2 linked regions of the Stegostoma tigrinum genome follow. The protein of the gene in region 1 purifies or fractionates together with the protein of each later gene. This does not show direct contact. Links are inferred from orthologs where the notes say so. Each region holds a gene or a part of one and is shown on either strand. Other genes may lie near its edges.

Region 1 (7,878 bases):
AACCTGGTAGAGGCTACGTATTTAGCATCTTTTCCCACCCGAGAAATGTCTCATGAGGCAGAGTTTGGAAATAAATAGAGCACTGGATATCATCCAACCTTGAATAATGTTACACTCTCTTGTAAAACTGTTTGGTAAAATTAGCCTTTTCATATGGAGGTGCTCGCATTTATGAATGATCACACAGTGAAAAATAAACTTTGGTATTAAGCATGGAACATAAATACAGGCCAGGCCCTATTATAATGCATTCACACTATAAAACCTTGGCGTTCATGAAAGTAGAGGCCGAAGGAACCCTGACATCTGTTGCCATCTTGGATGCTTTCAGAAATAAGCACTGCTTCAAACAGTACAACTCCTATCATCCTTGGGATATATGAAGAGGCTGTTCAACTCTGACGTGGTAGCCACTTAACCAGGTCTTACAGCTAAATTGACAGTTAAGCAAACATGAAGATGGGAAATGCATATATACATGAACAGATGTGAAGGTCTCTGGTGCTATCTATATGGCCTCATTGAGGGGCTTTCATCCTTACCCTCCCACTATATCTACGTAAAGTCCTGAGATCCACAGCTGGGTGGAGGGATTTTGTTTTCTGGATGACCTTTGGGTGACTGTCCCTGAGGATATTTATGGCTAGAGGGTCCATATATGTTGAGAATGTTCACCAGATGCAGACTCATCTCTCCTCAGTTTCAACTTCCATAGAGTTGAGAATCACAGGCAGCTGGAAAAACACCTTACTGAATCAAGAATAACTGACCTTCCCCTATCATGACTGTGCCTCAATGCCTCAACCAGATCTACACAGAGTACAGAAAGGTCCCAGTTGTAAATGCAGGCCCCTTACCCAATTACCTGTTTAGAAGATTATATTCACAGTTGAAAGTGCACTCCTTATCTCATCAGTGATAAAACAGCACCATGAACATACTACCTCTCGCACATCTGCCTGCATTCACTATTTAAACATAAGAGGTATAAATCTCAGCAGCTCATGTACCACCAGGTCACCAACCTTTCATCACAACCAGGAGACTGTAGACACCTAATAACTGTTCATCAATGACTTGATGGGACAAGGACGCAGCCACAAAAGATGGCCTTTTGAAGTGAGCCCCGTTATGAATTCAGGCAACTTTGCTGGCTTAACTAGGTTTGTTGACATCAACTAATGTGACTTCCTCTCTTGGGCAAGTTTGTTCGTCCAGTCAGGTAACCTCCCTAACACTTTTTTTACAACATATCAGACTGCTGAGAACGGAGATATTCACTCCTAAAAAGTAATTATGGAAAGAACCTTGCTTATGGATGAGTCGAGTAACAGAAAACATTTATGCTCTTTGTAGCTTAAAAGGAATTTACCTTGCCAGATATGTGCTTCATATATAAAGACAGGGTTGTGAAACATATTTCCCATTTTTTACCTCACAAGACTTCACTGGGGTTTTTAAAGCAGTAAAAGAGAACTATAATCTTCCATGTATGCAGCTGATTGAGAAATTGGCTGCTTCACAGATTGCTCCTGACGTGGACAATTAAAAGACCAGAATCATGAAAGAGAATGGGGATCTGAAGTCAGAACCTAAACCTGACAGTTCAAAGGTTGTGTTTAAAAATCGACATCTTCTTGGTGATGTATGTTGCCACAGTGAAACAAAGGTTCATTCCAAAATTGGATTAGAAAAGAAAAAGGAACTAAAATAAAAAAAATTCTGTTTTGATTTAGAGATTTGACTGAATGAAATCTGAAAGTCACAGGGATTATCTACAAGTCACACAGCATTGAAACAGACCTCTGAGTCCAACTCGAGCATGCCGGCCAGATATCCTAAACTGATCCAGTCCCATCTGTCAGTATTTGGCCCCCATCCCTCTAAACCAAATGACTGTGGGTTTCTTGGCAAATTGTCTCAGACTGATTTGACTGGGTGATCTAACCCAGCTGTGGAAACACTGACATTTCTTGACAGGAGAAAGGAAATTTACTCTGATGCATAACTGGTAGGCTTTGAGAGTTGAACGTTTCTCAGAAAGCCCCATTGTCAACATCCTGAGGGGCTACCATTGGCCAGAAACTGAACTGGACTACTCATATAGATACAGAGGCTACAAAAGGAGGTCACAGGTTAGGAATCCTGCAACAAGTTACCCGCCTTGAGGGCCCAGTTAAAGGGTTGCACGTTTAAAACAGAGATGAAGAGGAAATTGTCCTTTCTCAGAGGTTTCTGAATCTGTGGATTTCTTTACCACAAGAGTGCTGTGAAAGCTGGGTCATTAAATGTATCAAAGGCTGACAGTGACAGATTTTTAATTAGTAAGGGAATTAAGGGTTATTGAGAAAAGGCAGGAAAGTGGAATTAAGGATTATCAAATCAGCCATAATCTCACCGAATGGCATAACAGATTCAATGGGCTGAATGGCCTACTTCTGCTCCTACATCTTATTGTCTTATCCCTCACTGCCCTTCAGAAGATGGTGGTGATCCACCTTCTGAAAGCATTGCTGTTCTTGGGATTTCGGTGCTGGAGGGAATTCAAGGATTTTGACCAAGCAACAGTGAAGGTTTGTATTTCCAATTCAGGATGGTGTCTGACATGGAAGGGAACTTGCAGGTGGTCATGTTGTCATGCATCTTCTGCGTTTGTTCTTCTAGATGTTACTGACTGTGAGTTGGAAGGTGCTGCCTAAGGAGTCATACAACATATCACAATACGGCACAGAACTGTCCTTTGGCCCTTGACGTTGCAACAATCTGTGAACTAATCTAAGACCACCCCCCTACACTACACCTACAATGAGAATGCCATTCAATGTCACGGATTGGATAGTTGGTGAGTTAGATTCTCTCTTGTTTGAGGAGATCGTTGCCTGGCAGTTGTGTGGCATGAATATTGGGTTGAGTTTATCTCTGGTATGTACACGCCCAAAACACTAGCCATTTCTTGAACCAGCCACGAAGGTTTTCGGGTGTGCCTGCCTTCCACAGAATTTAATCATTATTTGTACGCGTTTTCTAACTCATTTTTATCTTACATCTCAGAAACTGCATATCCTTTGCCTTTATTTTCCATCGTATTGCTTCTATTCCAACTCTTGCATCTGTATGGCCATGTGGCAATTTCGTACGCATTCCTGCTTGTCATAATAAGATGTTCTCACTTCTAGATTCATGAAGACGTTAATCACATTTGCTATGTATTGGTGCAGCTGCCCCGCCAACGAAGAAAGTTGTAAACGAGAAGCAAAACAATTGTTGCCAAGAACTACCCGCGGGACATTTTTCACGACTGTGGTAACCTGCCAGCCTTAAACGAGAGAAAGAACTGCAGATGTTGGAACGGAGATAATAAAATGTGAGGCTGGATGAACACAGCAGGCCCAGCAGCACCTCAGGAGCACAAAAGCTGACGTTTCGGGCCTAGACACTTCTTCAGAGAGGGGGATGGGGTGAGGGTTCTGGAATAAATAGGGAGAGAGGGGGAGGCGGACCGAAGATGGAGAGAAAAGAAGATAGGTGGAGAGGGGCGTATAGGTGGGGAGGTAGGGAGGGGGATAGGTCAGTCCAGGGAAGACGGACAGGTCAAGGAGGTGGGATGAGGTTAGTAGGTAGGAGATGGAGGTGCGGCTTGGGGTGGGAGGAAGGGATGGGTGAGAGGAAGAACAGGTCAGGGAGGCAGAGACAGGCTGGACTGGTTTTGGGATGCAGTTGGTGGAGGGGAAGAGCTGAGCTGGTTGTGTGGTGCAGTGGGGGGAGGGGTCAAATTGGGCTGGTTTTGGGATGCGGTGGGGGAAGGGGAGACTTTGAAGCTGGTGAAGTCCACATTGATACCATTGGGCTGCAGGGTTCCCAAGCGGAATATGAGTTGCTGTTCCTGCAACTTTCGGGTGGCATCATTGTGGCACTGCAGGAGGCTCATGATGGACATGTCATCAAGAGAATGGCAGGGGTAGTGGAAATGGTTTGCGACTGGGAGGTGCAGTTGTTTATTGCGAACCGAGCGGAGGTGTTCTGCAAAGCGATTCCCAAGCCTCCGCTTGGTTTCCCCAATGTAGAGGATGCCACACCGGGTACAGTGGATGCAGTATACCACATTGGCAGATGTGCAGGTGAACCTCTGCTTAATATGGAAAGTCATCTTGGGGCCTGGGATGGGGGTGAGGGAGGAGGTGTGGGGGCAAGTGTAGCATTTCCTGCGGTTGCAGGGGAAGGTGCCGGGTGTGGTGGGGTTGGAGGGCAGTGTGGAGCGAACAAGGGAGTCACGGAGAGAGTGGTCTCTCCGGAAAGCAGACAGGGGAGGGGATGGAAAAATGTCTTGGGTGGTGAGGTCGGATTGTAAATGGCGGAAGTGTCGGAGGATGATGCGTTGTATCCTGAGGTTGGTGGGGTGGTGTGTGAGAACGAGGGGGATCCTCTTTGGGCGGTTGTGGCGGGGGCGGGGTGTGAGGGATGTGTTGCGGGAAATACGGGAGACGCGGTCAAGGGCGTTCTCGATCACTGTGGGGGGAAAGTTGCGGTCCTTAAAGAACTTGGACATCTGGGATGTGCGGGAGTGGAGTGTCTTGTCTTGGTGGCGGAGGCGGAGGAATTGGGAATGGAATTTTTGCAGGAGGGTGGGAGGAACGGGATTGTTGGAGAAATCCAGCACGTCTGGCAGACTCTGCAGAGACCGAAAAAGCAGAACTTACTCTTGTCAGTGGTCCTTTCAAAGTGGGGGTGGGGAGGAAGCGCATGGGGACGGTGACTTCCGGTCGGAATAACCTCTGACCTCCCGGTGACGCCATCAGGAAGTGACTACGCGGGTTACCAGGGGCGGGTGTGTTAGTGGGGTGGGGTCGTGTGGGGCGCTTGCCCTCCCATTGGTTGGAAGTGGGCGCGAGACGACCCGGAGGCCTTGGCGCGTGCGCGGTGCCCGGATTTCGCCCAGCCGCGCGAGAGGCGGCCCCTTCGCTCTCTCCCCTTCCCCCACCCAACGCTGCCGGACCCGGGAGAGAGAGAGAGAGAGAGAGAGAGACACAGACGGACGGAGAAGGAAAAAAAACATTCGGGAGAAGCAACAGTAATTGTGCCCACCCACCTAGCTAACCGATCCAAAGTACTAGGATGGGAGTTCCGGCCTTCTTTCGCTGGCTGAGCCGCAAATATCCGTCCATCGTGGTGAACTGCACGGAGGAGAAGGTGCGTGATGGCCGAGGCTGCGCGCTGGGCCGTGTGTGTGTGTGTGTGTGTGTGTGTGTGTATATATATGAGAGACTAGGCCTGAAGCCAACCCGCTGCTTACCCTCAAATCCTCCCTTCCTTCCCACTGTTCCTGTCCGTCGCTCTTGCCCCCCCCCCGATTCCCCCAAGTGTACAGAGGGAGAGGGTAAATGTGAAAACCTCAAAAGTAAGGTTTGTGTTTTCCCCTCCCCGTGAAAGCGATTGAGTCAAGTGAGAATGCGAAAGCCAGTGTCTTTTCTCTCTCCCGTGGTGCTCAGTTGGTGACTTTTACAAATTCAAATCTTCATATTGGCACGCATCAACGTTGGTAAATCGTTTCTGACCCATTGTTTTTAAACTGTCTGTAAAGGTAGAGTTTGAGAGTCCAGGATTACTCCGAAATTTTCCAAGTATTGTGATCCTCTCTGTAGCAGACTGGCGTAACTCTTTCTGCTAGCAATACCTCTACTTACGTAAAAAAACTTTGGTAAGGGTGAGATTCTTCATTAGGGGATCAAGGATTATGGGGAGAAGGCAGCAGAATGGAATTGAGAAACTCATCAGCCACAATCGAATTGCAGAGCAGACTCAATGCGCTGAAAGGCCTGATTCTGCTCCTATATCTTACGGTCCTTGTATTTTGTTTGCGGCAGAAGCAAAAGGGCTCGTAGGCTGCTGGTAGTTTGAAGTGCAAATGCTGACAGCAGCCTGTCTACAAGGAGGTGTAGAAAAGCAGTTAACAGGTAGCCAGTCAAAGGGGAAATTGAGATAACAAAGTGTGGAGCTGGATGAACACAGCAGGCCAAGCAGCATCTCAGGAGCACAAAAGCTAATGTTTCGGGCCTAGACCCTTCATCAGACCCTCCCTGATGAAAGGTCTGGGCCCGAAACGTCAGCTTTTGTGCTCCTGAGATGCTGCTTGGCCTGCTGTGTTCATCCAGCTCCACACTTTGTTATTTTGGATTCTCCAGCATCTGCAGTTCCCATTATCAAAGGGGAAGTTGAGTAGGTTTTGAACAAGGACGGAAAAGTGGAAAAGGGATCAGGAAAAGAACAAAAGGGGAGTTCTGTGACTGAGTCAAAATCAGGTGAGATTTAATGATAAGAGGAATGACGAAGGTGGGATGAGACGATAAGGGGATACATGAATGAAAAGCTACGTCTAGCAGGACTGTAGATAGGAATAGAAGAATCATCAATTGTTAGTGAAAAATAATATTGACAGAGTATGATCTGAAGTTGTGGAACTTGGTGTTCAGTTTAGGAAGTACAGGGCTGCTTAATTGGAACGTGGGACCTTTTTCTCTGATTGTAAGATCTGGACTTGTATTCCAGAGGCCGAGGCTAACTAATGATTTGTTGACATCATGTTGTATCCAACAGTTGATAGAATTTAAATTTAATTAAAGCTTATGAATTAAGCTTTCATCGACAGTTGTAGAAACTGAACACATTCACAAAGGATAATAAAGTGTGAAGCTGGATGAACACAGCAGGCCAAGCAGCGGAGGGCTGCCCGTTCTGCAGGGGAGAGGTTGGAGTGGGTGAGAGGGGTGGAGAGTTTGAGGCGGCTGATGTCTCGGCGGCAGTTGGAGATGAAGAGGTCGAGGGAGGGTAGGAGGCCTGCGGGTGGTGTCCAAGAGGAGGACTGCTGTCGAGACATTAACCGCCTCGACCCGTCCACCCCTCTCACCCACTCCAACCTCTCCCCTGCAGAACGGGCAGCCCTCCGCTCCCTCCACTCCAACCCCAACCTCACCATCAAACCTGCAGTCAAGGGTGGTGCAGTGGTAGTATGGCACACTGACCTCTACATCGCTGAGGCCAAACGCCAACTCTCCGACACCACCACCTACCGCCCCCTTGATCATGACCCCACACCCGAGCACCAAACCATCATCTCCAACACCATTCATGACATCATCACCTCAGGGGACCTCCCACCCACAGCCTCCCACCTCATTATTCCCCAACCCCGCACGGCCCGTTTCTATCTCCTTCCCAAAATCCACAAACCTGCCTGCCCTGGTCGACCCATTGTCTCAGCCTGTTCCTGCCCCACCGAACTCATCTCCACCTATCTGGACTCCATTTTTTCCCCTTTGGTCCAGGAACTCCCTACCTACGTCCGTGACACCACCCACGCCCTCCATCTCCTCCGGAACTTCCAATTCCCTGGCCCCCAACACCTCATTTTCACCATGGACGTCCAGTCCTTATACACCTGTATTCCACATGCAGATGGCCTCAAGGCCCTCCGCTTCTTCCTGTCCCGCAGGCCCGAGCAGTCCCCCTCCTCCGACACCCTCATCCGCCTAGCTGAACTCGTTCTCACCCTCAACAACTTCTCTTTCAGTTCCTCCCACTTCCTACAGACAAAGGGGGTGGCCATGGGCACCCGCATTGGCCCAAGCTAAGCCTGCCTCTTTGTAGGTTACATGGAACAATCCCTCTTCCGCACCTACACTGGCCCCAAAACCCACCTCTTGCTCCGTTACATTGACAATCGGCGCCGCCTCTTGCTCCCCAGAGGAGCTCGAACAGTTCATCCACTTCACCAACACCTTCCACCCCAACCTTCAGTTCACCTGGGCCATCTCCAGCACATCCCTCACCTTCCTGGACCTCTCAGTCTCCATCTCAGGCAACCAGTTTGTAACTGACGTCCAT
Region 2 (7,814 bases), on another chromosome or scaffold:
CATCACATTTGATTTTATTTATTATTGTCATGTCTACCGAGATACAATGAAAAGTATTGCTTTGCGTGCTAACCAGATAAGGCATACCTTACATAAGTGCATCAGGGTAATAGAACAGAATGCAGAATGTAGTGTTACGGCTAAAGAGAATGCACAGAGAAAGATCAATTCTAACATACGAGAGTTAATTCATAAGTCTGATAACTGTGGGGAAGAAGCAGTTCTTAGACATCGGTGTAACTTGCTATCGTACAATACAATACATCTTGTTTATAACAAGAGCCGCTTCTCATTTAACTACCAAGTGGTTTTCCTCTATGAAAGAAGGCCAATCAGACAATGACTCCCTGCTGGGAAATACGATGATGGCAGAAAATCTACCACATGGCTCAAGATAACAGCAATCAGAAACATCTGATTGTAGAATAAGAGAGGAATTAAAACTGTAATTGTAGATGTGTACAGCCATCCTGATGGCAAAAATTGAATTGCGGCATTTATTAATTCAGAGAATAAAGAAATCTGTAGAAAAAGCAAAGTTGTTGTAATGGAACGGTTCACTTTTCATTTAGTTTGAAAAAAGCGGAGTAACTTCACTGAGAAAGACAATGAGTTTCTTAAGCATATCCGGTCAAATACAATGTTAGGTTTTAATAAGAGAAATTTGATATAGTTACTAAGATTTTAGGTTTTGATCAGGCTAACTTTAACAGGACAAGATAGATTCATCAGCTGAAGCTAGTTAAAATTGTTATCATACAAAGCTGCAAATGAACAATGGTTGGGGGTGGGGGGTGTGGGGTTTGCAAACAGTTTAATTTGTAGAACAACAATACATATCCTAAGCAGACACTATAGAGAGATAACATAAAATGAGTAAAGTGCAAAGAATACTGCAAATCTAATGAACTGCAAGAGCTAAAAAGTATAGTATAGGGCTACTGTGCCTTTAACTCAGCTGCTTGGACCACTGGTTTGCAATGTAGTTATAAGGGCTTTTATAGTATAGTGGTGTTGTACCTACCACTAACCCAGGATACCCAGACTCAAGTCTCACCTGATCTAGTGGTCACAATAATACCATTGAGCAGGTTGATTAGAAAATGTAAAGAAAGACAAAAAAAATGGTTTAAGAACCAAAGGGGAATGTGAAAAAAAAACTTGCAAGAAACATTGTAATGAAAACCAGGATATTGTAGACTTATTAGTCCAACATCTGTTCTAAGAAGTATTTGGGATGTATAACTAAAGACCCCTTGGCTGAAGATTTAGAGAAATTTGAGCTTCATAGACAGAGACAATATGAATTGAATAATTTAATTAACCTAGAGCCATTGTGTGGAATATGGGCAAAATATTGATGGCCTTAATCATTGTATGTTGGGAAGGGAATAAGTTTGGTGGGAAGGTGTTGAGTAGGGTCCACACTGCTATCCCACCTTTACCTGATTAAGTCCAGTGCATGAAGTCTTGTTGAAACCTTCCTGTAAAAACAATTAAGGTCCTTACAAGGGCAATTAGTGCCACCAAAGGGCATCATTGTACCACTATTAGTATTTAACATGGTAAGTAGAGTTGCAAAGTTGGGTAGTGTAAATGTGTTTGTAGAGGCAGGACATTGGAATTTGGTGTTTGCAAAAAATTGATGCTTGTAAAATGCTAGGGGTGGAAAGCATTGCATGGTCTCTTTAAAAAACGAGGTGCTTTTTCTATGCATAGAGATTCAAAATGGATGTTTGTGGGTTTGCAGGTACACAGAGAACCTGAATTAAAACATTTGTATCAAAAGGCTGAACTGGTAGCGGGCAAAGCAGCATTTTCACCAAGACAGCAGGGTCGAATTTAGTCAATTAATGTAACCAGGCCCTTCGATGCCAAAAACCAATAAAATTCAAATCTGAGATAGTAACAATTGCAGATGCTGGAATCTTAGATACCACAGTGTGGAACTGGAGGAACACAGCAAGCAAGGTAGCATCAGAGGAGCAGGAAAGTTGGCTTTTTGGGTTGGGACCTTTCTTCAGAAAATTTAAATCTGATAGATTTGACAACATAGGATCAATCCTATTGCGTGAAATTGAAATGTCACCAAGGCTATAAAAGATTAGAGCATTTGGACAACCAGGAGAGAGCAAACTGTTATCTGCTAAGGGAACAGCTCTCAGCTACAAAAGGAAGAATCGCTGGCTCTCACAGAATTCTCTAAACCTTAGAGTAAGATCCATCTAAATTATAGGTACCTACAGCACAAACAGTTAATCTTCATGACAAAAGAATTCGACAGAGAAGGCATTCCTGACAGAAGGATTCACCGAGGAAGTATTCCTAACGAAATAATTCATCAGAGAAGACACAGAACATTCTGGAAGACGTAACCAGAGTAATTTTGAGAATCTAAATTCTAATTTTTCTTTTGGGTTGGGATTGGGATAGCAGCAACACCCTCTACCCAAATAATTATTCCCTTCCAAACATACAATGAGTAAGGCCATCAATATTTTGCCAATATTCCACACAATGGTTCTAGGTTAACCAAAAAAAATGGTTGAGAACCCGACCCGAAACATTAAGCTTTTGTGCTCCTCTGGTGCGTCTTGGCTTGGTGTGTTCATCCAGCTTCACACCGTGTTATCTCAGATTCTCCAGCATCGGCAGTTCCTACTATCTCTAATTTTTCTTTACTTTGTTTTGTATAACTTGGTCTTGTATTTATTGGAACAGCATACCACTAGAATCTTGTTTCATTTGGAAATAGTTGGCAGTTAGACGGGAGTTGTTTGGTTTGTCAATAGTTCAGTTGTTTTGTTCGCTGTTAGAGTTAGATAAATAAATTGTTAGTTGTTGGTTATAGAGTGAGAGTCAGGAGTTTATTTCAGGTAACCACTCCTTTATAACAGATTGGGGGTGAGAGGCAAGTTATACTACTTTTCACACTTCTTTTAACAGATTATAGGGCGAGGCAAACCTTTCTGGTGTTTTGATGTTAGTTATCAGAGAGGGGTGGACCTCTGCTTTATAACAGTAGATAGACGGAAAAACAAGCTCTGTCAGGTTTGTTTGTCAGCTACAGTAGGGTGGTGGTGTTCCCTCAAAACATAATCAGTGCCTAATCAAAGAATGTAGCATCATCGTCTGAGACACTGCTGCTTCCCACACAGCCTGCACCTCCCCTCGTGGCACGGTTCCTTCTTCAATCCAACCTTTTGCTGGCTGCATTACTGGCAACAACCACGACATGCTGATGGGTAATGGGTAGCTGCCAGCCTCTAATTGGTAAACAGATTTCAAGGAGTGAGATTTCTACCCTCTGAGTCCTAAATCTTGGAAAGACCAAATGCTGGACAGTTAAGTGCTTGACGAACACATAATTCCAGCAGGCCTTCCCCAATAGATCTAACTGAATTACCCTAGCCAGTGTGCAAGAGTGCCATCAACAACATAAAATTTTAACCTTTGAGTTGTTATGTTATAAGGCCATTCAACACATTGGGTCTGTGCTGCTATCTGTAGATTGTCCACAGTCCCATTTCATCACTGAATCTTCAAAGGCCTGTAATTTGAATACACCAGAGCCAATGCAATTTTCTTTTGAAGCTATTCATCTACCCTGCTTCCAGCATATTAGACAGCAAGTTTCAGGTCATTACGATTTGCTCTTCTTTACACTTCTCCTCTTACACTTCTCTCAAACCACTTAAGAATTAACAACACTCAAAATTAGATATTTCAATTGTAAGCAACCTCCTTCAGGCTCTTGTGACGCTAGAGGTCGGTGACTGCCCCCGGTCAGTGTACCATCAGCTGATGGGAACAGTTTTCCTTTATCGACTTTATCTAATTCACAATCTTGGACACTTCTATTAAATCACACTTCAACCTTTCAGAGTCAGAAGAAAAAGACCCTTTGGTGTAACTTGTCCATGCCAACCAATTTTCCAAAACAAAACTAGTCCCACATGTGTGTGTTTGGCCCATATCCCTCTAAACCTTTCTTGGTCCTGTCCCTGTCCAAACAACTTTTAAATGTTGTAGCTGTACCTGCATCTAACACTTCCTCTGGCAGTTTATTCCACACACAGAAAAGGTTACCCTTCGCATCCTCTTCAAATCTTCCTTCATTTTCTAAAGGATAAAACTCTATTTCTCCAATCCAAACTGCTGGCTAAAACTACTCACTTCCAGAACTGTTCTGGCAAATGTCCCCTACCCCTCTGGCCAGAAATTCACTTCTTTAGCAGATGAAATGGTAGACAGGTAAACGTTTCTATGGATATAGCCTTGTAAATAAACTTTCAGAAAGAAAGTTTCCATTTAAGAGCCTGATAGTTTAAAAGAACTCTTAATCGAAAGCAAATTATTAGCCTGGTTGGTGATCGGTCAGGTATTTTTAATAATGTGGACATGCTGGGGTTGGACTAGGTTGGCCAAAATCACAAGTCACAGGACATCAGGTTATAATCCAACAGCTTTATTTGAAATCACAAGCTTTCGAAGCACTGCTACCTCAGATGAAGGTATTTTTAAATTAGTAAATTGGAGATAGCAAGAACTATGGAGTCAATACAGTGTGGAGCTGGAGCAACACAGCAGATCAGACTCAATAAATAAGTCCATGGACGCTGGCCATCCTCCTCTGCTCCAACACGGACACCAAGTGGGTGAGCCGACTCTCATCCCGCTCCTGCCCCGCCCATACCCCGTGGCCCCGCCCCATACCCCCCGCGGACACGCACTGTCCTTTCCCCGCCCCCCAATCATCGTCGCCACTGCGGCTGCGCCCCTCCACTTCCCCACCCTCCCACCCTAGCCGCGGCCCCGCCCCCACCGCCCGGAGGCCCGCTCGCGGTGCCTGCTGGGAGTCGTTCCCGGTGCCCTTTCAGTAAGATGGAGGAGTCGGCTTTGGACGATTTTCTGAAGAGGAACCGGGAGATGGCGGATTGCAGTTTGGAGCGGCTCCGGGGCCTATCCGAAAGCGACAAACACTGGACGGCGCGGAGGAGCTTTCTGGTCCGGAACTTGTCCGATTACCCGCGGGATCGCCTGGATTACTTGGTCGCCCTATCCATGGTCTGGGCCAACCATGTCTTCATGGGTTGCCGGTAAGTTGGGGTGGGGAATGCCGGGGCTTCGCTCAGCTTCTGAGCCCCTTCTAGACCGTGGGGCACCCCGGGTGGATGTGCGGTTCTCTTCAGATATCTCTGAGCAGCGAGGCTGCTGCTCCCTAGATGGGTCAGGTGCTTGGCTACGCAACGAGACCGGTTATAGGCCTGGAATAACGGCCTCTTTTCCAGCACTACCCCAGCCACAGGGGTTGGGAGACAATCCAGTTCCCCTCGCCCTTGGGATCACTGAGACAGAGATTCAGTGGGAACATATAACGTTGTCATATCTCTGTCAGGGACAGGACTTTCTTACCCCACTCAGGCTTCGAAAAAGCCATCGTGTCACGCATGCTGCAAGGTCTGATTGTATTTTCAAAAATATTTGTAAAATTACGGCCCAGCGTTGCGGGTTGAGTAGAATGCAATCTTCTCTCTTCTTCCTCCTTTCCCCTCCCCCGAAATTATTCACCGAGATTTGCTGAATGTAATTTTCTATAATATGTATTTTAGTTATAGTGATCAGCTTATGGAAAAGGTTTTGGATATGGCAGATGGAGTTCATGTAGAAGATGCACCGCATTTCACCACAAGAGATGAAATAATGACGCAGGTATTGTACAATAACGGCACAGATTTACAACAATGAAGGAGCCCTGCAGCCTAGCTAGTCAGTGCCAGTAAAAGAAAGTGTCTAATTCCAGGGTCTAGGCCCGAAACGTCAGCTTTTGTGCTCCTGAGATGCTGCTTGGCCTGCTGTGTTCATCCAGCCTCACATTTTATTATCTTGGATTCTCCAGCATCTGCAGTTCCCATTATCTCTCTCTCTCCAGTTTCCAGCATTTGTTACAGCACTTCAAGTGCATATCCAGGGTTTCTTTCAAAATGCAGAAGTTTCACTTCTCCTACTTTTACAGGTGCATGTAGATCCTCATCATCTTTTGGATGTAAACATTTCCCAACAACTTCTCTCTCATCTTTCTGTCAACTACTTTGAATCTGTGCTTCCTGATTATTGACCCCTCTCTGCTGACAGACAAAAGTTCCCCCTTATCCACACTGCCTAGGCTCCTCATAAATTCTATATATCTGTTCAAATATCCCTTCAGTGTCTCTGTTCCACTAACAGGCTGTTCTGTCTACAGACAAATGTGCTATGAACCATTTGTCTAAATGTTGAAAATATGGGTAAGTGGAAGTGACAGATCTGCAAGGAACTGATCTTCCAATTGCATGCCGTCCCTTGCTGGCATTCAGTGAATTTATCAGAAGAAATATAGGAGAGAAACAATCTGTGATTGGCAGAGCAATGAGCACCATGAAGCTAAGTCACTTATTTTGCTTTTATAGCCATTTCCTTCCCACATAATTGCTGGCCATAAAGCAATACAGGGCTCAGTTTAGTGAAAAGGGTTTGGAGGCCAAGAGGAACCAGAGGCCAGAGGTTGAGTTGAAGTTTCTGACAGTACTGAGGAAACATGTCGTGTCACCTTTCAGCCTTCCTAAATGCCTTATCAGTGGTAAAAAGTACATATGTCACTAAGAATGAGTGAGCCTGCTGAGAGTGACTGTAGGTGTGCGTGTAAACCCTGAAACTGGAAGTGAGTTGGAGATGCACACGGTTTTTCCCGTCCTTCCTCCCTCCCTCAGAACCTATCTGGAAAGCAGGCCAGGAGAGAGAGAGAACTCTTCCAGGTCAGTTCAGAGTGTTTGCCTCCAGAGGCAAATACAAGATCAATGATAATTAAATTCAACTCCCTAGCTCAGCCCCAGTCTCCAGCTGCTTACCTGGTAATCAGGACTAGGGCCTATCCTGCCTCTGGTTCGCCTGCATTGAAAAGGCAAAATACATTTTAGCGTTTAAACGCTGTGCTGCTTGTTACTTTTGGTGGTCATTTTTATTCATTTTTTTAAAAAACTGATAAATTTATTGACTGTTTCCTGGAAATTCATATTTGAGGTTACGCCAAACGTGATCTTTAGCGATCTGTACATAGGCACCTTGCCTGAGGAAAAATGAAACATGGCCTATCATGTGAAAAGATTGAACAACCAAGCTTTTGTTTTGAAAGCTATGTAAATGTGTGATTGTTGAATGTTCTATGGAGCTTCTTTTCAAAAATTCAACTGTTCTCTATATTAAATATTTCAAATTGACAGTTTTAATGGTAACATCCCCAATATATTTATTCTCTAGTCACTTTACAAAGATCTGCTTAATATTAAAAATCTGATCATCTCATGACCTTTCCAGTCCATTAGAATTTTGTGACAGATTTATAATAGAATGTGTTTCACACCATTAATTTTGTTCCTACAACCTGTTGAACATTTTATCTTTCCAATATAAAATTATATTTGAAGTAGTTGTATTTTAATAGACTTACTTATATGTCCATTTGCCAATGTCCAGTTACCTGATCACTTTAGTTTTAAATCATAGAATATCTACCGTGTGGAAGTAGCCCCATCAGCCCACACTGACCCTCCAAAGAGCATCTAACCCAGACTTATCTACCCTATCTGTGCATTTCCCACTCTAGAAACTATGGGCAATTTATCATAGCCAGTCCACCTAAACTGCACATCTTTGGACTGTGGGAGGAAACCAGAACACCCAGAAGAAACCCACGCAGACGTGGGGAGACTCCAAACAGACAGTCGCCCAAGGCTAATCGAACCTGGGTCCCTGGTGCTGTGAGACAGCAGTGCTAG

What was found. The genes of interacting proteins can lie anywhere in the genome.
Region 2: the proteins of xrn2 (region 1) and cdkn2aipnl purify together in Homo sapiens (co-immunoprecipitation; 6 studies listed by BioGRID and IntAct, with this or other methods). This does not show direct contact. The link is inferred for Stegostoma tigrinum from reciprocal best matches to the Homo sapiens genes XRN2 and CDKN2AIPNL.

The regions. Positions count from the first base shown.
Region 1 is NC_081362.1:13,334,451-13,342,328, reverse strand, and holds the start of xrn2 (5'-3' exoribonuclease 2), read left to right. Parts: upstream 1-4,876; 5' UTR 4,877-5,112; coding exon 5,113-5,187; intron 5,188-7,878. UniProt on the Homo sapiens protein: Possesses 5'->3' exoribonuclease activity. May promote the termination of transcription by RNA polymerase II.
Region 2 is NC_081366.1:30,321,843-30,329,656, reverse strand, and holds the start of cdkn2aipnl (CDKN2AIP N-terminal-like protein), read left to right. Parts: upstream 1-4,804; 5' UTR 4,805-4,884; coding exon 4,885-5,099; intron 5,100-5,612; coding exon 5,613-5,712; intron 5,713-7,814.